Linked DNA regions of Kluyveromyces lactis. The protein of the gene in region 1 purifies or fractionates together with the protein of each later gene. This does not show direct contact. Links are inferred from orthologs where the notes say so. Each region holds a gene or a part of one and is shown in the gene's direction. Other genes may lie near its edges.

Region 1 (7,205 bases):
AAATAAAAAGAACAAATTTGAAATTAAAGAGTGCTTGTTTCGGTTTCTGTTCGAGGGTTTTCTATTGAACTTTATTCTCTCTTTTCGCTGATTTCCTACTACGAGTTTTCAAAACTACGTCAAAGTTTTTTGCTTATTTTTGTTATATAAGTGCTGCATTTTTGGTGTTGTAGTTCCGTTAGCTTTTTGTTCTGATTATCCTTTCTGCATTGGCTTTCTTTCACAGAACGATCATTAAGACACACTCCACAAGGAAACGCGACTAAAAGATTTGAGAAAAGACCTTCCATCTATCTTCAATTTTACAATAGCTTCTAGTTTCCGGACGTTATCTTGTTTCAGTTGATTAGATACCAAAGAAAAGAATAAGCAGTGTTTCTTCCTGAAAACACTTAACAACACTGTCATATCAACTGTCAGTACTCCTTGGAAACATTTAAACATTCGCTTCTGTATAAGTTTCAAAAGGTTAAGCAGAAGGCTTTTTGTTTTCCCCATCTATCAAAAAGAGAAAATAACAAAAATGAACGATACTTCAGAGCATTCCAGTGATGTCTCTCCCATCATTTTCGATGATATCTCTCAAAGCAAATTGAAAGACTCATCTGAAAATGAAACCACGGATAGAATCATTATCAAACCGGTCAATGATGAAGATGACACTTCAGTCATGATTACTTTCAACCAAAAGATTTCTCCGTTTATCTTGATCTTGACCTTTACAGCATCTATCTCTGGTTTCATGTTTGGTTATGATACTGGTTATATATCGAGTGCATTGGTCTCTATAGGTACGGACTTGGATAATAAAGCTCTAACATATGGTGATAAGGAAATAATTACAGCTGCAACATCTTTGGGTGCCTTAATCTCAGCAGTGTTTGCAGGGATTTCTGCCGACATTTTTGGTAGAAAACCTTGTCTAATGTTCTCTAATATTCTTTTTGTCATTGGTGCTGCGTTGCAGGTTAGTGCACATTCATTTTGGCAAATGGCAGTAGGTAGATTAATTATGGGGTTCGGTGTCGGTATTGGGTCGTTACTAGCGCCATTATTCATTTCTGAAATCGCACCAAAACATATCAGAGGTAGACTAACGGTGATAAACTCACTTTGGCTAACAGGTGGTCAATTGATCGCTTATGCATGTGGTGCTGGGTTGAATAAAGTTCATAACGGTTGGAGAATTTTAGTCGGACTTTCTTTGATTCCAACTGTGGTGCAATTTACATGCTTCAGCTTCTTGCCAGACACTCCGCGTTTCTACGTGATAAAAGGTAACTATAAGAAGGCTGCAGAAGTTTTACAAAAGAGTTACATTAACGCTCCCCAGGAACTTATCGATCAAAAAATCCGTGAACTATCAGATTTGAATGAGGCTATCCCAGGTAAGACCCCTGTACACAAGTTCTTCAACACTGTCAAAGAATTACATACTGTCCCATGCAATTTCAGGGCATTGGTGATCGGTTGTGCTTTACAAGGTATTCAACAATTCTGTGGTTGGAATTCTTTAATGTATTTCTCTGGTACTATTTTTCAAACTGTTGGTTTCGAAAATTCTACTGCAGTGTCTATCATCGTTGCCGGTACTAACTTCGTATTCACTTTAGTCGCTTTCTTTGCGATTGATAAGGTCGGTCGTAGAGCAATCCTTTTGATTGGCTTGCCTGGTATGATGGTTTCCTTGGTTATGTGTGCTATCGCCTTCCATTTCCTAGATATAAAATTCACTGGCGCTGGTGAATCGGAAGTTTCCAATGGTGGATTCAGTTCTTGGGGTATAGTCGTTATCGTATTCATCATGGTATATGCAGCATTCTATGCTCTAGGTATCGGTACTGTACCATGGCAGCAATCTGAATTATTTGCAACATCCGTTAGAGGTGTAGGTACTTCTTATTGTACAGCTACTAACTGGGCTGGTTCCCTAATTATTGCATCTACCTTCCTAACAATGTTACAAAACATAACACCGACTGGTACATTTTCATTATTTGCTGCACTAGCTGCAGTATCTACCGTCTTCTGTTATCTCTGTTATCCAGAACTATCTGGTCTAGAATTGGAGGAAGTACAAACTATTTTAAGTGATGGATTCAACATCAAAGCTTCCAAACAACTAGCCAAGAAGAGAAAGCAACAAAATAGCGAAATGCAAAGGAGATTTAGAGAAAAGGACATGGAAGCTTATCAAAAGGATAAACCCTCCGATGAACTACTTGAAAGTTAATGTAAATGCAGTCATTCCCTCTTATTCTCATACCCGAAGCTACTGTCTTGGTTTTTCAATGAACTTCATATGAAGTTGAGTATATAGATAACCATAAAATCTTTTAGAATTAACAACTATAGCTGCTAAAGTTGTCCACAATTACTACTGTAATATTATCATTGTCATGTGTAAAACTCAACTTGTTTGTGATTTACAATAAAAATCTCGTTAGTTTGAAAGGGTGACATTTACTCATTTCATAATTAACTAACTCGGAAGAGAGAGCTTTCGAGAAATAGAGCTAAATCTTTGAAGCATGTAATAAACTGCCATATTCGGTTTAATCAGCCAAATCCTGTACCAACTGTATATTCCCCCCATCAAAAAAAGAGAGATTCTGGCGAATGTTTATTTGAGTTCTTTCTTTTTAGCATATTATGAAAATTTTCTGAACTTGAAAAAGAAGCGATGAGATGAGATGAGCTTATACAGTAGTAACTGCACTATGGGTAGCATTAAATAACAACATATACATTCTTATTCTCTCTCGTAGGACAATACAGCACTACAGATATGGCAGCCACGTCGAAAAAGTTGAACAAGCGTCAATTGGAATCTAAGGAGTCGAAGGATTCTGGTAAAATTGTAAAAAGAGCTAAAAACATTAGTGTTGATTCTGGCGATGAAGATTCTGATGATGTCCTCCACGGTTTATCTTCAGAAGATGAGCTAGATGATGAATTAGATGATGCTAGCTCAAATTCAGATTCAGACGAGCTAGACAACGAATCTGATCAACTGGATGAATCTGATGAGGATCAAGAAGATGCTGAAGATGAAGAAGATGCTGGAACCGGAAATGATGCAGACAAAAAAGAAAGTAATGGTGTCAGCCAGCATGCCGAACAAAGAAAAACATTAAAGGAGAGAAAACTTCAGCGTAAATCTGGTGAAACAGTCCAGCAGATCAAGTCTTTATGGGAAAGATTACGTGTCAAGAACCCTCCAATTCCAAAGCCTGTCCGTGAAAAGCTATGTAATGAGATCTGGGAACTCTCGAATGATTGTATTGAAGATTTAGTATTGAAGCATGATGCATCCAGAATTGTCCAGACATTAGTCAAATATTCTTCCAAAGAGCGCAGAGAACAGATCACGTTGGCATTGAAAGATAAAATTTATGTTTTGGCCACATCATCATATGGTAAATATTTGTTGGTTAAATTGTTACATTATGGTTCCCGAAAATCTAGACAAATCATAATCGATCAACTACATGGTAATTTGAGAAAACTAATGAGACACCGTGAAGGTGCCTATGTGGTCGAAGATTTGTTTGTTCTTTATGCCTCTCAAGAACAAAGAAATCAAATGATCAGAGAATTTTGGGGTTCAGAATACGCCGTATTCAGAGAATCTCATAAGGAACTTACGCTCGAAGAAGTTTGTGCTTCCAGCGTAGAAAAGAGAAATATTATCGCTAGAAACTTGATTGGTACCATCACTGCTTCTGTTGAAAAAGGTTCGGCAGGTTTCCAGATTTTACACGCAGCAATGAGGGAATACGTCAAAATCGCCAACGATAAAGAAACATCTGAGTTCATCGAACTTTTAGAAGAGAACTTTGCGGAATTAGTGCATACCCCAGAAGGTGCAGAAGTTGCATCTACTTTAATCGCTAAAGCAAATGCCAAAGAAAGAAAGGGGTTGATAAAGACCTTGAAAGAACATGCAATCAAGTTAATTCAAAATGAACACGGTGCCGTTGTTTTCATAACTTTATTAATGACAGTCGATGATACTGTTCTCGTCTCCAAGGCATTTTCCCCACCAATTAAGGAACATCTTCCAGAATTGATTGTTGATAAATTTGGTAGGAGGCCGCTCTTATTCCTACTTTTAGGATTAGATGGTAAATACTTCGGTCCAAATATGAAGAATGAACTACAAAGATACATTAAGATGTCGGAAACTACTTCCAAGAAGCCATTTGACCAAAGAAGACTTGAATTATTAAAAAGGTTCGCACCAATGATTTTATCTGGCGTAAACGAACACTACAAAACCATTCTAGATGAAAACATCGGTTCTCAATTTGTCGCAGATTTACTCGTTAACGATGATGTCTATGAACAACTTTCAGAGTCTGATCAAAAGTTGTTTGCCGAGCTTGTGGACACCGTCGCCATTTATTTCAAAGGTGACATTTCAGAAGAAGACCACCCTATTAACAAACCATTTTCGGCAAGGTTGCTAAAGTCTCTCATTCAAAATGGTAGATACAACGTGAAAGCAAGAAAACTAGAACCTCTAGAAAAAGTTCAGGGACTTGGTATTCCATTTGCTGAAAAATTTTATGAAGACATCATTGATTCCAGCAACCTACTCGATTGGATCAACAAACCCAACAGTTCTTTTACCATTGTGGCATTGTATGAAGCCTTACATGGGACTGAAGAAGGGGAACAATTCGATCATGATTTGAAAAAAGTGATCAAGAAAATAGAGACGAACGATTCAAACAAGGGTGCTCAACTACTTCTAAAGCTAATGAAGCATTGAGTATGTATAGTCAAGTCGTTATATAGTTTGGCTCTAAAATATGTATATTAAAGATGATATAGCTTCTCATCATTGTGGACGAAGGACGTTCTAGTCTACTATTAAGATTCACACTTCCTTAAATGAGACTATCATCTGCGAACCAGAGATAATACAGCTAAGAACATTTATTCCTCAATTCACTAATTACAGCAGTGGCATTGATGGCTTATGAATGACGATACTAAAGAGAAACCCATTTCAACTGCCTTTGAAGTAACCGATGGATTATATGCTGTTTCACCATTAATCGAGAATGTGCCTCATGAATATGAGTACTCATGTATCGAATATTATGGTCAGCACATCTACCTGGGCTCGACTTCAGGAGCGTTACTACACTATTATGAATTAGATGTTGGAAATTTCACACTGATCTCGGAAGTCAACTTCAATGAAGACAGACCAACAGGAATTGATGGCATAACGCTACTGCCGAAAATTGATAGAGCCTTAGTGTTGTCCGAAGGGAGACTCAAAATGTTTCTCCTGCCTGAATTTGCACCTGCTTCAAATATACCAAGTATTATGAATATAACAGAACTTTCACTTTTGGAGTTCTGTGAGAAAACACAATGTTACTCGTGTTTCTTATACACGAAGAACTTGGTAAAGCGAGTAAGCATAACAAGCAAAGAGATAAAAGTCGAACAGAAGTATAACATCAAGAGAATTAGAAAGGCCATTCCTTCAAAAGACGCAAAACTCCTTATGGCAGCTGTTGATAACTCTTACTCGATAATCCATCTTGAAAATGAGCTGGTAACTCCTTTATTCAAAGTGTCTGAGACAGATGATGAGGAACTCTCACCAATTGTGACAAATTTTGGAAAAAGTGAATATATCGTCACATGTGGAATATCAAATGACCAAAACTGTATGGGACTTATATTAAACGATGATGGAGAAATCACTCACGGTACCGTGGTTATAGAAAATTATCCACTCACAGTTATAGTTGATAATCTGTATGTGCTATCAGAATTACATGGTTCTAAATGCCTTCAAATTCATTTAATAAAAGAAAACAACGACCCAGTAGTTATACAAAATGTTAGAAATCAAACCCCGTTTCATATTACAAAGTTGCAGACTCCTTTCATAACGAGACAGTTTAATAAAGAATTAATTGAAAAACTAAGATATGTCCCTTTAATTGCAGAAGAACTCCAATTTCGAGAAGAACAAGAAAAAGCATATGTGGCCAGACAAATTGCGGTTGAATGCCACATGATTATCTACGGAAAATGTGGTATATATTCTTTATGCCGAAAGCCATTTCTACTCACCATTTCGAGCTATGGCGAAGATACTCTTCCAATTTTGAAGTCTTTCATCACTGAAGAGTCACAAAGCAATTACCAGCTTCTTCAAAAAAGCTACTTGCAGTTCCTTTATGTCTTGCTGTTAACATTACATATGGAACACATTGATAAAGATTTAATCGATGCCTGGCTCAAATATATTGATGTTGCAGATATCAGAGTATTAATTTACCTACTTGGTTTCGACATTTACGGAGATTTGTGGATTCCTAATGGGTTATTAGCATTTTCAAAAAAATTGCATTCATTGAAGCTAGTTCACAAGTGTAATGACGTTCTGAACATCATACAATACTTGAAATTTCAACTAAAAGAAACGTGTTCCGATAGCTTAAAAGATAGTGCGAACGTTTATTTATCGCTCGATTTAATTCTATTACGTGATAACATCGCTAAAGGCAGTTCAAATGTTGATGAATACGAGGCGACTAGTTACCAAGAAATTGCTAAAGAGCTTTCTAAGCATAAAAAAGAACATTCAGAAACTTTAATAGCCATATATGAAAAGACAAAAGAAGTGACCCCATTGCTCGAAATACTAAGACAAACAGATCAAAAAAGGCTCATAAATTACCTGAATACTCATTTCCAAGAGCTACCCGATACTTACTCTAAAGAAATGCTGACTGATGATATTTCATCAGCTTTGAAAGATTATAACGATGACACTGTAAGCGACGTTTTACAATTAATAAACAATTTAAACTTAGATGTGAAAAGACTCATCTCATCCATCGAAGACCCTGATACAAAGGTTCTCTTGCTTGAAAAACTGGGTGCGAGTTCCACCCAAGATTTGACATTTCTTTACGAGTACTATAAAGCTAAACTTACTGTTTTGAACAGCAAGCTAATAGAAAGTTCCAATTTACCAATTACGGAGTACATTACCAACATGACATATAACAAGTCTCCTTTCAAAGAGTATTTGAAAAATAAGCTGGGTGAGAAAAAGGAATATGAGGGTTGCTTCGATGTAGGGACCAAGCTTCTGAAAATAGAAAAGGCTTTAAATATAAAAGAAGGTTCTATTATTGATGATATCGATGCTTCTTTCGTTCTAC
Region 2 (5,842 bases), on another chromosome or scaffold:
ATTTGAATAGTAGAGTTGCCATATAGATAGCTGCTGCTGCGATGGTGATAGGAGATCTACCAGCCAAGACATTGACATCCTTAGAGTGTTTCGCGATGTACTCTGCAGCATTAGCCACCTGCACTGAAAGGCCCAAATGAGAACAAAATCTAGGGATGAAAGTCTCTGCACTTGTCTGTCCTGTGGTGATATTTGAAGTATCAATATTGGCAAACCCTCTATCATTCTTTTCTCTTAGAATGTTCTTGATGATGGTAAACGTCTTCCCGATTTCCTTCTTCCGCACGTTAGTCAAGGATAAGATTTCCTTGAAAGATCTCCCGACCTCTGCTCTCCGACATCCGACAAGAATAACTGAAGCCATGATACTTTCCTGTGATTTCCCCTTCAAGACTCTCTCTTCGAAGCATAATTTATAAGCTTCTTTAGCACAATCTTTAACAATCTTGGGCAGTTCTGCAGCATCACACATCATAGTAATCTTCGCATATGCAGCTTGCAACTCGTTATCCTTCTTGTCAACGATAGATTTCGACTGAGCCCTATTCAAATCCCTAGTAACTCTAGCATCACTTCCCTGGGCCTGCCCGATACGTGTGGTTAAATGGTTTCCATCCAACAAAGGATTTGAAGCTTCACCAACACGACTTGGATCGTCTCCATTCTGATCGTCATTGCTAAAAGTACGCCATTCTGACCTGGTATCCACAATTCTATCCGATAAGACTAACCCACATAATGCACAGACGATATCACCTTCACTAAACCGTTCCACAACTTTCGGAGGATAAACTTTACATTCGGGACACGATATAACAATGTTCAAATTTGGCCCCCTCCTTCTAGATGAGACAGCTACATTTGCTGAAGCTGCTGCTGGCAATGACATAGTTTCTCTTTTCTCTTGCCTCGGTATATGACTCAGAACAGCCTAAAAAAATAGCTGGAAACTGAACGGTAAGAAGTCGAATGATGAGCCGCTAAGATAACTAAACTTAGGCGCTGCTTTTGTTATAAAAGAACAGAAGAAATACCGATTAACCAACTAGTAGACGGACAAGACTGTGTAAGTTGCAACTGGATAGCTCCTTATCATTTTAGTTTCTCAATTTCTAAGCAAAAATGCTGGAAACTCGACGGAAATATATATCACGTGATAAACGCCACAGAAACAACCGTGGCATGTCTCTTGTTTACGGTTGATGAAAATTTTCACGAGATCCGGGTAACAAGTAATAACTTCGCAGTTATTACTACACTGACTGGAAGTAGAGAGGATGAGAGATGTGGTAAAACAAGTTCCACCCTCGCAACTTCGTATCGTATATCACGTTATATCAGTTCTTATTACTGAGATGATTTTTGTTCCCTGCTAGTGTCAAAAAAAACTGCGCAACGGCTACTGGGCTGCCTTTATATGTACTGACAGTTTCACTGCCCTTGACGGTATTACTGTATATATAATGTTAAATATCTGCCTGGAAGTGCTCATAGATATACCAAATACGTCCCAAATATTATTGACACAAATTATGGCTTGCGAGTAGCATAAGATTGCCTCGTAATTGACGAGTATCCACTGTGTTTCCACTGTCGTCCGCCAGCAAAAAGAAATTCTTTTCTACTTTGAAATTTTTCAGCTCTTCGAAATATGTTAAAACCTGCGATGAGATGAGATGAGATGAGATGAGACTTGATATTTACAGAACACCTGTTCAAGTAGATGTTTCAGTACTGTTTTCCGTGATAAGTTCACCGGAACAGCTAAGATATCTATAATCCAGTGCAGTAAATATACCTTTTTCCATTAATCAAAAGAGATGGTGAGAGTAAGAAAGAGAACTTCCAAGAGAACTTCCACTCGTATGAAGGAGGGTATCAAGAAGAAGGCTGCTGCTCAACATAGGAAAGAGCGGAAACTTGCTAAGAAGGATGTGACATGGAAATCCAATAAGAGTAAGGATCCAGGTATTCCGGCCAATTTCCCGTACAAGAACAGGATCATCGAAGAGATTGAAGCGAAGAGAAGAACTGATTTGGAGGAGAAAGAACGTAGAAAGCAGGAAAGGTTAGAGGCTAAGAGAAGAACTCGTGAACTAGGTGAAGATGTTGGTGATGACGATGAATCTATGGATGAAGATGAAAACGACGGCAACAATGGTCTTTCTGCTTTGTTAGAATCCGCTCAGCAAGCTGCAAAGGAGTACAATGGGGAAGGTATCGATGATACAATGAATGGAGAGCAAGAGGATTTAGAGGTTGCTGAATACGACGTAGACTTTTACGCTGACGCAGATGATGATGATTCTGAATTAGAAAAGTCTAGAAAGGCTTACGATAAGATATTCAAGACTGTGGTGGATGCGTCCGATGTTATCCTTTACGTGCTAGATGCAAGAGATCCAGAAGGAACTAGATCGAGAAGAGTGGAACAGGCCGTGCTTCAATCCCAGGGTAAGAGACTAATTTTGATCTTGAACAAGATCGATTTAGTGCCACCATACGTGTTGCAACAATGGTTAACCTTTTTGAAATCCTCGTTCCCTACTATTCCATTGAGAGCTGCTCCTGGTGCCACTAACTCCACATCTTTCAACAGGACTTTGACTCAGGCTACAACTGCTTCAAGCTTGTTAGAAGCTTTGAAGACTTACTCCAATAATTCAAACTTGAAGAGATCCATCGTTGTTGGTGTCATCGGTTATCCAAACGTCGGTAAGTCGTCTGTCATTAACGCATTGACCTCTCGCCGTGGTGGTTCTTCTAAAGCATGTCCAGTGGGTAACCAAGCTGGTGTCACTACATCTATGAGAGAAGTCAAGGTAGATAACAAGCTAAAGATCTTGGATTCTCCAGGTATTTGTTTCCCAAGTGAAAATAAAAAGATGAGTAGAGTGGAACAAGAAGCAGAGTTGGCCTTGTTGAACGCTCTACCTCCAAAATTCATCATAGATCCTTACCCAGCTGTGCTCAAATTAGTGAAGAGACTTTCTAAATCTGAAGAAATGACTGAAAGTTTCAAGAAGTTGTACGAATTACCACCTATCCCAGCTGCCGATGCAGACTCTTTCACCAAACAATTCTTGATCCATATCGCCCGTAAGAGAGGTAGATTAGGTAAGGGCGGTGTTCCAAACTTGGCCAGCGCTGGTATATCCGTTCTTAACGATTGGAGAGATGGTAAGATCCTAGGATGGGTTCTACCCAATGCTTCTAAGGAATCTGCTGCAGAACATGCTGCTACATCTGGTGAAGCTAACCAACCAACTCTAGGTACTGGTGCTGTCGCAGCACCAGCTAAGGTGGAACAAACGACCATTGTTCAAGAATGGTCCAAGGAATTCGATTTGGATGGTCTTTTCGCGTCATTGGATAACGCCATTGAAGCTGAACAAGACAACTTAGGTAATTGAGAACACAGAAAACGAATTATTCTGCATCTCTATGAAATACGATCAAGGATCCTATTGCTTATTTTATTTCGCATCGTTAAAGCTATAGATTTAAAAGCTTATGTATTAGGATGTGAATTTGAACACCCGTTTCAGTCCACGCACCTAATAGACAATACACATTTGTACACTACTACATATAAATGATTTAATATCTTCTTCGGCAAGACGTTTTTGTCATCTCTTTTCTTTAGGTAACAAACCTTTAAATAATACTTTAAATGCCTACTAAAATCAAAATGTTTAAAAGAGTGAAGAAGAGAAATAATCCGTGAGTCTACCATACGAACTCCAGGCTACACTATGTGTACAGCGTGACTAAATCTAGGGCCAAATATGCAGATCAATGTCAATGATAGATTGAATATAGGAGGTGAGTTTTGCACAGTACGATACATCGGATCATTGCCAGAATGGCCTAATATCGTTGCATATGGTTTAGAGTGGGACAACAAGCAAAGAGGTAAACATGATGGAACGTTAAACGGAGTACGATACTTCAGAACATCCGATGGACAGAGCAGTGGCTCATTTGTGAAGGAGACTAAACTAGATACATCTCGGCAAGAGAGAACATCGTTTGAAGGTGCATTATTGATGAAATACGGTGATACTTCATCAATCGATATTACCTACAAATTTGGGTCGAAAGAGACTGAGTCATATGGATTTGAGCATTTGAATGAAATGAACTCTGATTTTGACAAGTTGGAAAGTATCACGCTATCAGAAAACAACATTTTCCGAGCTTTCAAGACAACCTGTTCGAGCATTCCGTTTAATAGTGCTCATTCTTCTCTGCGATACCTTGATTTATCCTTCAATCTGTTTTCTGACATAAATGAGGTGTACCGCATACTGCGACTATTTCCATCTGTCGAGACTGTTATATTGAGTGGGAACTGTTTCACGAAGTTAGAAGCGGATTCCAGTGAACAGTTTGAATTTTCCAATGTCAAAGAACTATCAATGGCATGTTGTAAGCTCCGAAATGGAGATATAGAGACAATAATAGAGGCTTTCCCTCAAATAAAGGCGCTAGACATTTCTTCAAACTTGCTATCAAAACTTCCAGATGTTTTAACCTCATTACAGGAAATCAACATATCTGATAACCTTTTCATTGGCTTCCCAAAAGTTCTTTCAAAAGAATCATCCTTAACTAGCATTGACATTTCAGAAAACAAAATATCAGACCTTAACGATCTCAACACCAACAGTCATATCATGACTCTTAGGATTGATAGAAATAGGATCACAAGTTGGGAGGAAATAGACAGTATAAATACGGTTTTCCCTAAATTAGAGACGCTTTGGATTAAGAAGAACCCGGTATGTTTTGAAGATACGCAAAAAGGTTTCTATAGTATCATCGCAAGATTGAAGTCTTTAAAATGTGTGGATGGAACTAGGATAAGTGAGGATATAAGAAATGAGGCAGAACTCTATTTCATATCGCTGGTTTTATCGTCTCAGATAAATTATGATACGCAAAGTGCTATGTGGAATCATTTGACACTGAAGCACAGCATAAACACAGAAAGTAGAACCACCGTCCAACAAACGAATTTCCTTTCAAAAGAACTGATTGAAATTCCAATAGTTTATGATTCTGAACCTATCAAGTTGAAACTATTGAAAAGCTTCAGTGTGCGTTATTTGAAGACCTTTCTGCGATATAAATTTAATCTACAAGGCGAAATTTCCCTGCAATACTCTGTCATGGACAACATCAAACACGATTTCACCAATGAATTCTCTCCCCTAGCAACCTATAATATAGAAGAGAGTACTATATACATCAAGTCCAAATAAGACCTTTATCAATTAAGTACATTAGAACCAATGAAAGAAAAATGGTATAAAAAAGATGACTATATCGATTATGTACTTTGAATAATGCTGATGACTACGTTAACAGTAAACGGGAAATGCCAAGTGAGCGTAAATGTGATAACAAATGCGCTTCAATCAGCAGAGAATGTCCAAAGAGGATCACCCAAATGATGAATCATTTCCACACCATGGCCCTTGTTAATTTCCTTAATTTCCTCAGTACTCATCAACAATTTCCCTACTGCCATAGCGGTTTCTTTATTCTCTGCGTTGATAACCACAATGGTATCCTTTTCGAATCCTGGAGCCTCAGGCAACTTAGCACCTGGAGATGTCAAACCAGGACACATGATGTTGGACCCTGCCAATACAAACTTAATGGCACCTCTATCAACTTGAACCGTTGGGAACGCCTCGGGGAATTTGTGTACAAATCTCAAAGAAGGAATTAATTCGTCAAAGTTTTGAAAGAAGAGCACTTCCCCATTGACCAAGTACAACTGAATCTTACCTTCACACTTATATAGTTCAATTTGAGCCTTCTTCGGAATGAT
Region 3 (6,409 bases), on another chromosome or scaffold:
CATAGCTTTTTGATATCAATTTTGATAACGGTTCTCTAATGCATACCCTGATACCTTTAGGGACCCAGAGTTCATAAAGACCATTGAAACCATATTTTCCAGTAGGTTTAACTTGAAAATATCCGATATCTTTTAGAACAATTTCGATTGCTCCATTAAATGGAGGAATTACGTGCCTATCAAACATCTTAATGTCAGTAAATGGTTTCTTGAGAGCAAAAAATTGGCGAAGTGAATGATTTTCTGACTGTAGCACCTCTAGAGATAAGCTAACAGCCTTTTCGACATTTGAAAACTCATGCTCCGGAAGAGGAATGTAATTAACCACCTGATTTATAGTGGAATTTGGTGGAACAAGATGAAAAATTCCTCCAAAAGACAGGCATTTACCAGTTTTTGAACCCGTCAAAGAGGTGTAATTTTGTTTTATCAGTTTATCAATCTTAAACTTTGAGGTTTTCCTTATGTTATCAAGCGTTTCCTTCTCGATATAATTCGCTAGATCGGATACTTTAGTAGGATCCATTGTATACCCTGGTAAATCGTTCACAACTTTATCTTCTATCAAATAAGTTTGCATGGTTCTGGTAAAGTTGGGAATATGTGATACTCCACCTTCATTGAAGATGGCCCTACGGCGAGTACTTTGTATTTGTTCGTGGCCTTTTGGAGGACCAATAACGTTGCCTCTCTTATCAAGTTGAGCTTGGAAACTTGTTGATTTTTCATGGAGCAAAGAATTAATGAGAGACGTTTTCCCAACGTTAGGATTACCCAATAAATAGCATCTTTTAGCCAAAGCATTTATCACTGATGGAATATTCCAATTTCTTGGGTTAGAGAACAATACTACTTTCTTAACATGTACGCCTATATGACGTCTACAAAATTCCGCAAAAAAAGCACTCCCTTTATGTGGTAGCATTGATGACTTGTATGTGATCTGATCAGCCTTTGAAAGTAGTAAATAGTTTCTATTATTCTTTTCTGCCAGGATAGTTTTGTCTAATGACAAGGGAAAGTCAGACAAAGACACAACGTGGTATACGTTTGCAGCATGCGGCAAAGCGCCCTTTATATCGTTGAAAGAATGAATTGGAAAATCAGATGAGTTGTACCTGTTATGACTTATAGCATCGACACATCTTTTACAAACCAATCTTTTGGGAATAGGTTCTTTATAATCTGGATCGGTGTCTGGATCAAGTAGCCCGATTTCATGTTTTTTTAGCTGAAGTTCTTGTGTGAACATTAAATACTTCAAATCTTCAATGGTGCCAGCATCTTTCCTGACAGCGCGAGGAGGCTTATAGTAGCCTGTCACAGAAGGATTCTTGGATTGCAACTCAACACCACAGCTTTTGCATGATACAAACCGAGTAAACTGCTTAAAAGCTTGGAGCCGTGATTTCATAAAAGGTAATACTACTACTATTTTCTGATGCATATACCTCAGTACTCTTATCAATAACGGCTCAAAACTGTTGCATCTCTCGACATTCTGTTTGCAGTTTGTTGCATCTTTTGTCGATACCTTTCCAAGCATGTCAATTACCATATTACTTGCACTATTCATCGATGTCAAGGCGATGCCATTACCCGGATACAAAAAGAAACGCCATGAAAAGTTTTCCAAATATCCAAACCAAAATTCAATCCGATGAGATGAGATGAGATGAGATGAGATGAGATGCCCCAAGAAGAGATATAGAGAAACTTTAACGCAGCTCTAACAACTTAACCAGTAGTCGCTCTAGATAATCTTCTTGAAATCATATTGTTGATCAAAGGCATAATCTTGGGACCTGTTACCTATTGATAAAGGGATCAAGAATTACACAATGGGTAAAGTTTCAAAAGCTACTAAAAAGTTTCAGACGAAACACTTGAAGCATACGTTGGACCATAGAAAGAAGTTAAAAGATCATTCTAAGAGAACCGCCGGTCGTAGGGGTAATAAGACAGAAGAAGAAAAGAATGCAGCTGCGTTGACCAAAGAAGATCAAAAGTTGAAGAAGTCCGCTAAGGAAGAAGTCTTCAACGACATGAAGGTTGAAGAGTTCTTCGACAATGGGTTCGATATTCCAAAAATGTCAAAGAAAATGGCTAAAGAAACCGAAAAAGCATCAAAGGTGAAAGATAATGATTCAGAGTCTTCTGCCGAAGAAGATGAAGATGTTAAAATGGATATGGAAGATTTGGCAAAGAAGGATCCTGATTTCTACAAATATTTGGCAGAGAACGAACCAGATCTTTTGTCTTTCAAATCTACCAATCCTCTAGATGAAATATCAGATGACGAAGAAGGGCAAGTGGGTGAAGAAGAAGAACTGAAAGAACCTGATTTATCAAAGTCCAAGAAGGAGGAAAAAGATAGCAAAATTGCCGTCGACATAAAGCTCGTAAATAAATGGAAGAAGGATTTAAAAAATAGCCCATCTTTCAAAACTATCAGAAGTGTGGTTTCAGCTTTTAAAGCTGCTGTGAACATGAACAACGAGGAAAATGTAGACGATTACAAGTTCACAGTTCTTGATGAAAAAGCCTTCCACGAGTTAATGTTCGTTGCCCTTGTGGATATGCCAAAAGCCGTCCAAAAATTGACACCTTATAGGGTCAGTAAGAATGAAACCAGAACTCTCCCATCAAATAAAAATGTTACAAAATTGTCCTCTGTTTTGAAATCGCACGTTCCATCTCTTATCGTTCTCCTAAGTGACATCACAAACACAGACGTCGCTTCAATGATTTTGCATTCTACCTATGAGCTATTACCATACTTTATTTCATTTAGAAGATTACTAAAAGAATTAATTTCTCAAGTCGTCGAAGTTTGGTCCACTACTGGAGACGTTGAAACTCAAATTGCCACATTCGCGTTTTTGAACAATGCCTCTCGTGAATATAAGAAAGCTTTATTAGAAGTTGTATTGAAGTCCACGTATTCTACTTTCATTAAAAGTTGTCGTAAAACTAACATCAGAAACATGCCTCTAATCAATTTCCAAAAGAACTCTGCTGCTGAACTTTTCGGTATTGATGACGTTATAAGTTATCAATCGGGTTTCGAATATATCAGACAACTAGCCATTCACTTGAGAAACAGTATCAATGCCACAACTAAGAGGTCCTCAAAGGTGGACCCATCAAGTGCTTACAAGATTGTATATAACTGGCAGTTCTGTCACTCTTTGGACTTCTGGTCTCGTGTTATATCCATCCAATGTAACCCAGAAAAGGAAAACGGCCACGAATCCCCTCTTAGACAATTGATTTACCCACTAGTCCAAGTTACCATTGGTGTCATTAGATTGATTCCAACAGCACAATTTTTCCCATTGAGATTTTATTTGATCAGATCCTTGATCAGATTATCTCAAAACACTGGTATCTTCATTCCAGTTTACCCATTATTATCTGAGATTCTCTCCTCTACTGCATTCACAAAGAAACCTAGAAAGTCAACGTTACCTGCATTTGACTTTGATCATAACATCAAGTGTACACAAGCATACTTGGGGACAAAAATATACCAAGACGGGCTAGCTGAGCAATTTGTAGATTTGCTAGGTGAGTACTTTGTTCTATACTCCAGAAGCGTTTCATTCCCAGAATTAACAACGCTTGCCGTTATCTCATTACGTCGTTATATCAAGAATTCTGAGAATGTAAAGTTTAACAAGATGTTGCAAAACGTGGTAGATAAAATCAACCAAAACGCTCAATTCATTACAAAGAAGAGATCAGATGTAGACTTCGGACCAAACAACAGAACAGAAGTAGAAAAATTCTTAAATGAAATATCGTGGAAAGATACTCCTCTTGGTTCCTGGGTTGCTATCCAAAATGAGGTTAAGGAAGAAAAGGCCAGACTCTTAAGAGAATCCTTGGAATCTGACGATGATGAAGAAGAAGAAAATATTTCTGACGGAGCCCAAGACATAGTAATGGATGATGCTGAATCTGAAGCAGATGAATAATCAAATGATTGTATGATAAGTTCAAACTTTCTTCAATTTTAAATTCATTGGTAATCCTATGTCTTCGACCATCTTATATTGGATTGCCTCCTTGTCAAAGACATCGGCGGTAAATTTCATGAAAATAGAAATTACATTATGTAAATTATTTTAAACATGTATACTCAACATTACATTCAGAATACAAAGCTCGGGAGTACAATCTGCGGTAGGCATAACTTGACCAAGTGGAATAATTCTTATACCAGTACTCATTACAGGCGTTATGTCGAATGTCATGAATTTTGAAGGTGATAGTGAAACAACCTTAGTTCAAGAGAATGATTCATTTAGTGATATCTTGCCCAAGTTATCTTGCAGAAACCCTGAAGAAAGATCTACGGGTAGTGTGTTACTTTTAAAGGAGATCCGGAGGTTAGAGAACGATCTTGATCGACAAATACGAGATCTTACGAAGAAAGAGTTTGCTTTGAAAAGGGCAGTGAAAATAATGCAAACTTACGACAACGAACTCAAGACTATCGAATTAATAAATAAATGGAGGTCTATATGTCAATGTGGGATGTCTTACATGTTGAATACCATATTGGTTAAAATTGATCGAATGGGCGGTTATCAAGAGTATAAGCGGAAAGAAATAGAGGCAAGAAAGCGCCAAGTTGAGTATCAATACGATGACGGCATTCAACAACAAATGGAAGAGATCTTGGAATCTCCGGACTTCTTTCATTTGCCAATTGAAGAAAAGGAAGAAATCAGGGAACGGATGGATGAGAAAGTGAGAGAAGCAGAAGAAATGAAACAGAACGAACTCCAGAAATTTGAGAATGAACTAAGGAAAGAAGATAATGATGAAATGACTTTGCAGGAGCTAGCGGCTAAACTAAAAGTTGACTATGATATGGTATATACTAATCAATAATGAAAATTCAAGTGAAAATGATGCTTTATAAGTAATACTGAATAAATAATGTTACTACTAGAATCGTCAGAAAATGCTTACAGTCAAGCTTCAAAGACATCGCCTAATTTCAATCTTGGTGCAATGTTCATCGCAAGCAATTCCTGGAATAAAAGTTTGGCTGCATAAGGAATAGTCATTTTGACAACATGTTCAGCGGTTTTACAGCTTGTACACCATCCACTATAACCCATCAAACCACATTTTTCACAAACATCGACTTCAAAGGCATCAGAACTTAACATTAATCTTTCCAACAATAGTTGTGAAGCACCGTATGCGATAACACAGTCACGTTCCATTTCACCCAATCTTAGACCACCATCTCTAGATCTACCTTCTGTTGGTTGACGCGTTAACACTGCCCTTGGACCTCTGGCTCTTGCGTGCATTTTGTCAAGAACCATATGCTTCAACTTTTGATAGTAGATTGGACCAAAGAAAATGTAAGCTTGTAAACATTCACCAGTAATACCAGAATAAAGCATGTCCTTACCGGAATAGTTGAAACCATTATCGACTAAAATCTTTGACATGTCTTCTAACTTAGATCCACCGAAACAGGTACCGTATTCAAGGGTACCATTCAAGACACCAGCTTTACCTGATATCAACTCAATCATTTTTCCAACGGTCATACGAGATGGGAAACCATGTGGGTTCATGATAATATCTGGTACTACACCTTGATCGTTGAAAGGAAGATCTTCTTGTTTTACGATGATACCACAGACACCCTTTTGACCATGTCTCGATGAGAATTTATCACCCAATTCAGGTCTTCTGTTTTGTCTCAATAGAACTTTGATCAAAGCCTGGTCATTATCAGAAACTGACATCATAACTTGATCAATATGAGAAGGTTCTGGAGCTCTATATACCACTGGAGTCTCCTTGTACTGAGCTTGTGTTTGAGTTAGAATGCTATCCGACGCATTAGTTGGAACAGATTTATTGACATAAATTTGTCCACTTTCAACCTTCATTCCAACTTCACCTAGCCCATCAGGGCCTAATGCTTGGTGTTGCCATATAGGCTCACCATTTTCATCAACTCTCATACCACCAATAATATCCTGAGTATGATTTGGATATCTCTTCAACACGGTGGTGTTCTTACGACGAGTTTCACAACGTCCAAAACCTCTGTCAATGGACGCTTTATTTAAAACTAACGCATCCTCGATATCATAACCGGAGTAGGACATAACTGCCACCGTAGCATTTTGACCTGCCGGAAGTTTATCGTAATCGATCAATTCAATCGTTTTGGTTTTCACCATAGGCTGTTGAGGGTATATCATTAGATACAATAAGGTGTCAATTCTTTTGAATTGATTGTATGCAATTGCACCAATAGCCTGCTTACCCATCGCACATTGATAAGTGTTACGTGGAGACTGATTATGGTGAGGATATGGAATCAAACCAGCAACTGCACCTAAGACAGTAAATGATTCAATTTCTA
Region 4 (5,352 bases), about 400 kb from region 1:
CCACACCACACGATGCAGTGACGGCCATAGTATAATTGGTAATCAATTGAGTGGTGGACATAGGATGAGATTTGTTTGCATTGGCCCCATTAACAGCAACATTCAATGATTGATTAGCCCATTGCCAGAACAGGGTACCAGCGGTACCCATATTAGGAGTTAACATACCAGCAGTAACTATCAGATTTGAGGGCACACAACAGGACATACGGAATGGGAGAAACACAGTTTCACCAGTATCAGGATGAACAGTAGAATCTAGCTGTTTCTTTGCATGCCAGAACTCAGGCGTCGTTTCTTTCAACTCTCCATGGCGATATGCACTGATGATTTTGCGAGCTTGTTGAAGATCATCACTGCTCGTTAACAACATCGTTGGATCAGAAATCTCTGCGCAGTGACGAACACGTCCCCAATAGGTGCTTAGATCATAACGAGATTCTGGTAGGGCAATTGGACCTGGGACACTGGATGCCATGATAAGCTGTACTCAAGTGTATCGAAGTCTTTTGGATGAGCTGAGCTTCTACGAGACAAACACGACTTTGTTCTTGCTTAATTACTTTCGAGATGAGATGACTCTTTAGATATAAATGCATTATTCTCTCGAGCTTGCATTTTTTTTTTTCATTCTGCAGCGTCAGAATGATACGTACGGCGTTACAAAGCTGCTGGAATTCTGATAAGAAAAAAGACAGTAATTATTGATCTAGCAATAGGTTATTATAATTCTCTTATTCTCGGAGAAACTGTACTAGTGAAACGATGATGATTCCAACCACTTCGATTTCCAATTTAGCAATAACATATTTGTCTTTGCCCTAATCATATTCTTAACATGTCTAAAGGTAATATGATAATTTACCCGGACAACTAATTTTCTCTGCCTGAAAAAAAAAAAGAACAGACATCCAGTATAAATTGAGAAGCTTTTCACCTTGAGAAAAAGACAAGGTTAAAGCAAGTACTCTAAGTTAATCAAATTCGAGTCGACTGTTCTTTTGATTATTTGGCTTAAAAAAGTGATACGAAACATATTAATGCCTTCTATTCACTGTGCCATCTGATACACCGTAGATGAACAGAGGGGAAAAGAACGGCTAGATGAAAATTCTATCCGCGAGCGTACCTCATACTGATTAAAGTACTTAACTATTTTTCATCAATTGGCTTTAATTGGTAGCTGCGTGAGCGGGACATTCTCTATCTCTTGTCACTCCTGAATTTACTTATACTTGTATATACCATATATTACTCGTGAAAATGTTTAGTATTACACGGTCATTAGTCTGTCACTTAGCTATTGGTGTACTGACTAATTTCCACTACCCGGTTCCTTAAAACATATACACGTGACTGGCATTTATTTCTGGCGGATTTCTTTTTCGAGCAGTGGTTTGTTTCCCAAAAATTTTCCAAGCTCATCGCATCTTACAACGCTTAGAAAATGTACAAGATAGGAAGAATAGAGTTAACGCGCTCCATCGTACCTCAGTAACAACGTGCGATCACAATCTATTAGACAATTCAAACTAGAATTCACTGGAAGAATATCTTAGTTATAAGGAGAAGTAAACTGTAGGGGAATATGTCAACAGATAAGACTCAGGTGAAGCTACGCTTCTTTACTCGTGAAGAAGATGAGACTTTACATGTCAATGATGCTCCAATCTATGCTCCAGTTAGTCTAAAGAGATATGGTCTTTCTGAAATTGTTAATCACCTACTGGAATTACCTAAATCTATGCCATTTGATTTCCTTATCGATGGTGAACTTTTGAGAACATCGTTGCAGGACTATTTGATCAAGAAAGGTTTATCATCGGAAACCTTTTTGAATGTTGAATATACTAGAGCAGTGCTACCACCTTCATATTTGTCTAGTTTTGATAACGAAGATTGGGTAAGCTCATTGGATGTCGGAAGCAATTACATCTACAGTGGTTCCTATGACGGTATCGTAAGAACGTACAACTTGTCAGGGAAAGTCGAAAAACAATACAGTGGTCATTCTGGCCCTATTCGTGCTGTGCATTACATTTCTAGTACGAGATTGGTGTCCGCAGGGAATGATCGCACTCTACGTCTGTGGAAAACGAAGAATGATGATTTGAAATCAATTGATGAAGAAGAAATTGAGGATGGTAAGACATTGGCCATCTTGGAAGGTCATAAAGCCCCTGTAGTGTCCATTGATGTTTCGAAAGACCGTATTCTATCTGCATCATGCGATAATACGGTGAGCTTGTGGTCCACGAATTATAAAGAGATGACTGTCATTGATCCGATGGAGGATTTAGGAGGCAACGTGTCTACTGCAGCCAAGAAGAGGAGAAAGTTGACTCTAAAAGATGGATCTATCAGAAGAAGAGCCCCTTTGGCTCTTTTTGAATCTCACAGTGCTCCAGTAGAGGCTGTCATTTTCGATAAATCGGATGATACTGTTGGGTATTCCGTGTCACAAGATCATACTATAAAAACATGGGATCTGATAACGGCAAAATGTGTCGATACAAAGACGACATCGTACTCACTTCTTTCTGTTGCGCAACTACCAAAATTAAATCTCTTAGCATGCGGGTCGAGTGCCAGACACATTACTCTTCATGATCCTCGTGTAAATTCTTCATCTAAAATCACCCAACAGCAGCTTGTAGGTCACAAGAACTTCGTTGTCGCTTTGGATACTTGTCCAGAAAATGAATATATGATATGCTCTGCATCTCACGATGGAACTGTCAAGGTTTGGGATGTTAGGTCTAACACTGCAATGTACACTATCACCAGAGAAGATAAAAATGTTGTTAAAGGTGTCAATGATAAAGTGTTTGCTGTCAAATGGGCTAAAGGCGTAGGTATCATCAGCGGTGGTCAAGACAAAAAAATTCAAATTAATAAAGGTGATAATATATTTAGTAACTAATCGTAATTTTATATATTATATACAGGAATTATGCTCACTAGTTCACTTAAATATAAAAGAAATGTACCACAAAAAATGTTGAGAAACAACATAGTATTTGCAGGGTTCTAATGTTAATTATCTTTTTAGTTCCGAATGGAATTTGGCTAGACCATAAAACCCTTGGAATAAGGATTCGTAGTCTGTTAGGTAACCATTCAAATTTTTAACATCAACCTGGTTGGAATGATCTTCCCATCCACGTAATTTACGTAGTCTTGCTAGCTCATCGTATGTGAATTGTACTAGTGGTCTAGTTCCGTATTTCAACGGTCCAACATTAACCCAGTGTAAACGTCCTGTACAATTGTTAGAAAGCATCTCAATAGCATTGAAGTAATCAAACATGTTTGCTGCTGTGTCAATAAAGAATGCAGAACATACTATTATATTTTTGTATTTTTTCTCTGGTTTATAGCAGCAAAAGTCACCGAAAAGTACTGTTAAGTTCTCTGGCTTTTGGAACTTATCCAAGTCCATCCTAAAGTGCCTGGTTTGCGCTTCCATACTTTGTTGACCACTATAAATTTGATAGAAGGGATCAACGGTGATATTGTCCGTAGTTCCGAGGACATATTCGTTACACAAATACATCAAAGACGAGTATTCAATAGATGTAACCTTTGCTTTTGGAAATCGATTGGCTGCCTCATAAGCTAGCCTTCCACATCCAGATCCTGGTACAACAATTAATGTGTCTTCATCGATGTCACAATTTCCGAAAGACTCCTCAATGAAATCTACAAGAGGCTTTCTTTCCAAATCATAAACATCACACCAATCTCTGACAATGTGACACATGGCTTCATTCACACGGCTTTGGTTACTCTTTTTAGAAAATCGAATGGAATTTATTGAATCGCGAACCAATGTGTCATTTTCTTTGTCCCATGTATAACCAGCGTCTCTCAGTACTGATTCAATTGCTGAGTTAAAATCATTGTTAACAAGTATTTCCTTTAGAGTATATTCTATAATTTTGCTCAAGGTGTCATAATTTACATCAATTGATTTGTTCACGGCAACTATTTTATCGAAATAACCGATCTGGTTAAGCTGTTCTATATCACTGGGAGTTACGTTGCTTGTTCGTTGATAAACTATCCCGTTTTGTCTTAGAGCTCTGATCTTGTACTCACACAATTGTGATAATGATGCAGCAATATCTTTAAGTGATTGCTGCTTCGTAAAATAAGGCGAATCGACTAGTTTGAAGTTAGCAGAGACCGGTGGATAAGACTGTAATGTTGTTAATGATTTTTCCAACTTTGACACAAGCCAGTTCTTAAATGCTTTATTTCTGGTAAAAGATGCCATTCCCAACGATAAAATAATAATCAGAATACTATTAAACACCGAATTCATAACACGTAAGGATGGTCACAAAGCAACTCTCTTTAAAGTTATCTACGCTGGGGTTTATCTTCATAGCTTTGTCTTTTTGTTCGGTTGCACCTCATTAATTGGTAAAAACTAGAAATACACTAAATTTGTTATGAACGCATTTGACTTTCAAAGTGATGCAATGGTCAAAAAGGTTTGTCAGTGAGAAGGGATTAATAGACAAAGGCCATTTTGAGTTGTCAAACTATTTATCAGATGAAGTCCAAGTGAGAGGCCCTTAGAAAGGTGCAGATGCGACTATTTAGAAGTGTTAAGTAGAATTATACATAACTTTGTCAACAGGGACAACGAAAATACCAGAAAAATAAGAGTCAAGGTAAATATAGCTTTGAGAAAGCCATTGAAACGAAATGATATATTCTGAAAGCTGTTGTTTACCGCACTTTCTAGTTATATAATTTGACAACAACGGCTCCAAAGAGGTTATTATAGTATCGTGACTTAATGAATACCATTCGAAGGATTGAAATGAATCAAGAAGAAATATCAGAAACTTCAGATTCCATTCACTTCACTTACAAAGTTAAGGTAAACATTCTGAAGGAACCGCAATATACGTGTACATAGACCTGCCGACTTCCCGAATACCGGAATTTTGACATTGATTTATACCATAGTATGTTGTACTGACATCATCGTTGTATTTCTTTTGAAAGCTGTGATATCACGTTTACAACAGGATATGCAACAAACAATTAAGAAATAATAGACGCAAGTGTATTGTGACACCAATACATGATAATAGATCAGCAAGTTTGCCTTCTTTAATGCCAGAAGTTCTGTGTGTATTAAGTAGGAAAGCATGACAATGAAAGTGGAAGTACTTGCAGACATTCACAATTGCTGTTATACATTTTCCAACTAATTAATTAATTGTAGTCAACACGCAACCAAATGGAGAGTTGTAAGAAAACACTTCAGTGGTGCTAGTACAACTTAAATTGAATTTTTTTTTTGCTCATTACCATATACTTGGAGAATGGAGT

The links. Proteins that work in one complex are often made in the same cells at the same time.
Region 2: the proteins of PUF6 (region 1) and NUG1 purify together in Saccharomyces cerevisiae (affinity purification with mass spectrometry; 5 studies listed by BioGRID, with this or other methods). This does not show direct contact. The link is inferred for Kluyveromyces lactis from reciprocal best matches to the Saccharomyces cerevisiae genes PUF6 and NUG1.
Region 3: the proteins of PUF6 (region 1) and NOC2 purify together in Saccharomyces cerevisiae (affinity purification with mass spectrometry; 3 studies listed by BioGRID, with this or other methods). This does not show direct contact. The link is inferred for Kluyveromyces lactis from reciprocal best matches to the Saccharomyces cerevisiae genes PUF6 and NOC2.
Region 4: the proteins of PUF6 (region 1) and YTM1 purify together in Saccharomyces cerevisiae (affinity purification with mass spectrometry; 5 studies listed by BioGRID, with this or other methods). This does not show direct contact. The link is inferred for Kluyveromyces lactis from reciprocal best matches to the Saccharomyces cerevisiae genes PUF6 and YTM1.

Annotation. Positions count from the first base shown.
Region 1 is NC_006039.1:1,046,325-1,053,529, forward strand, and holds PUF6 (pumilio-family RNA binding domain-containing protein), read left to right. Parts: upstream 1-2,788; coding exon 2,789-4,777; downstream 4,778-7,205. Other genes in the region: myo-inositol transporter ITR1, read left to right, coding at 524-2,233; CORVET complex subunit VPS3, read left to right, coding at 4,988-7,205. UniProt on the Saccharomyces cerevisiae protein: RNA-binding protein involved in post-transcriptional regulation. Component of the ASH1 mRNP which transports the ASH1 mRNA to the distal tip of the bud, where the ASH1 protein is translated and targeted to the daughter cell nucleus.
Region 2 is NC_006040.1:1,171,648-1,177,489, reverse strand, and holds NUG1 (RNA-binding GTPase NUG1), read left to right. Parts: upstream 1-1,820; coding exon 1,821-3,413; downstream 3,414-5,842. Other genes in the region: SUA7 (transcription factor TFIIB), read right to left, coding at 1-889; PAC2 (Pac2p), read left to right, coding at 3,789-5,267; TMA20 (translation machinery-associated protein 20), read right to left, coding at 5,420-5,842. UniProt on the Saccharomyces cerevisiae protein: GTPase required for 60S ribosomal subunit export to the cytoplasm.
Region 3 is NC_006042.1:100,336-106,744, reverse strand, and holds NOC2 (mRNA-binding ribosome synthesis protein NOC2), read left to right. Parts: upstream 1-1,841; coding exon 1,842-3,980; downstream 3,981-6,409. Other genes in the region: GEP3 (Gep3p), read right to left, coding at 1-1,576; MEI5 (Mei5p), read left to right, coding at 4,246-4,902; DNA-directed RNA polymerase III core subunit RET1, read right to left, coding at 4,986-6,409. UniProt on the Saccharomyces cerevisiae protein: Involved in the intranuclear transport of ribosomal precursors.
Region 4 is NC_006039.1:645,244-650,595, reverse strand, and holds YTM1 (Ytm1p), read left to right. Parts: upstream 1-1,588; coding exon 1,589-2,923; downstream 2,924-5,352. Other genes in the region: FSF1 (Fsf1p), read right to left, coding at 1-478; KLLA0_C07403g (uncharacterized protein), read right to left, coding at 3,041-4,327. UniProt on the Saccharomyces cerevisiae protein: Component of the NOP7 complex, which is required for maturation of the 25S and 5.8S ribosomal RNAs and formation of the 60S ribosome.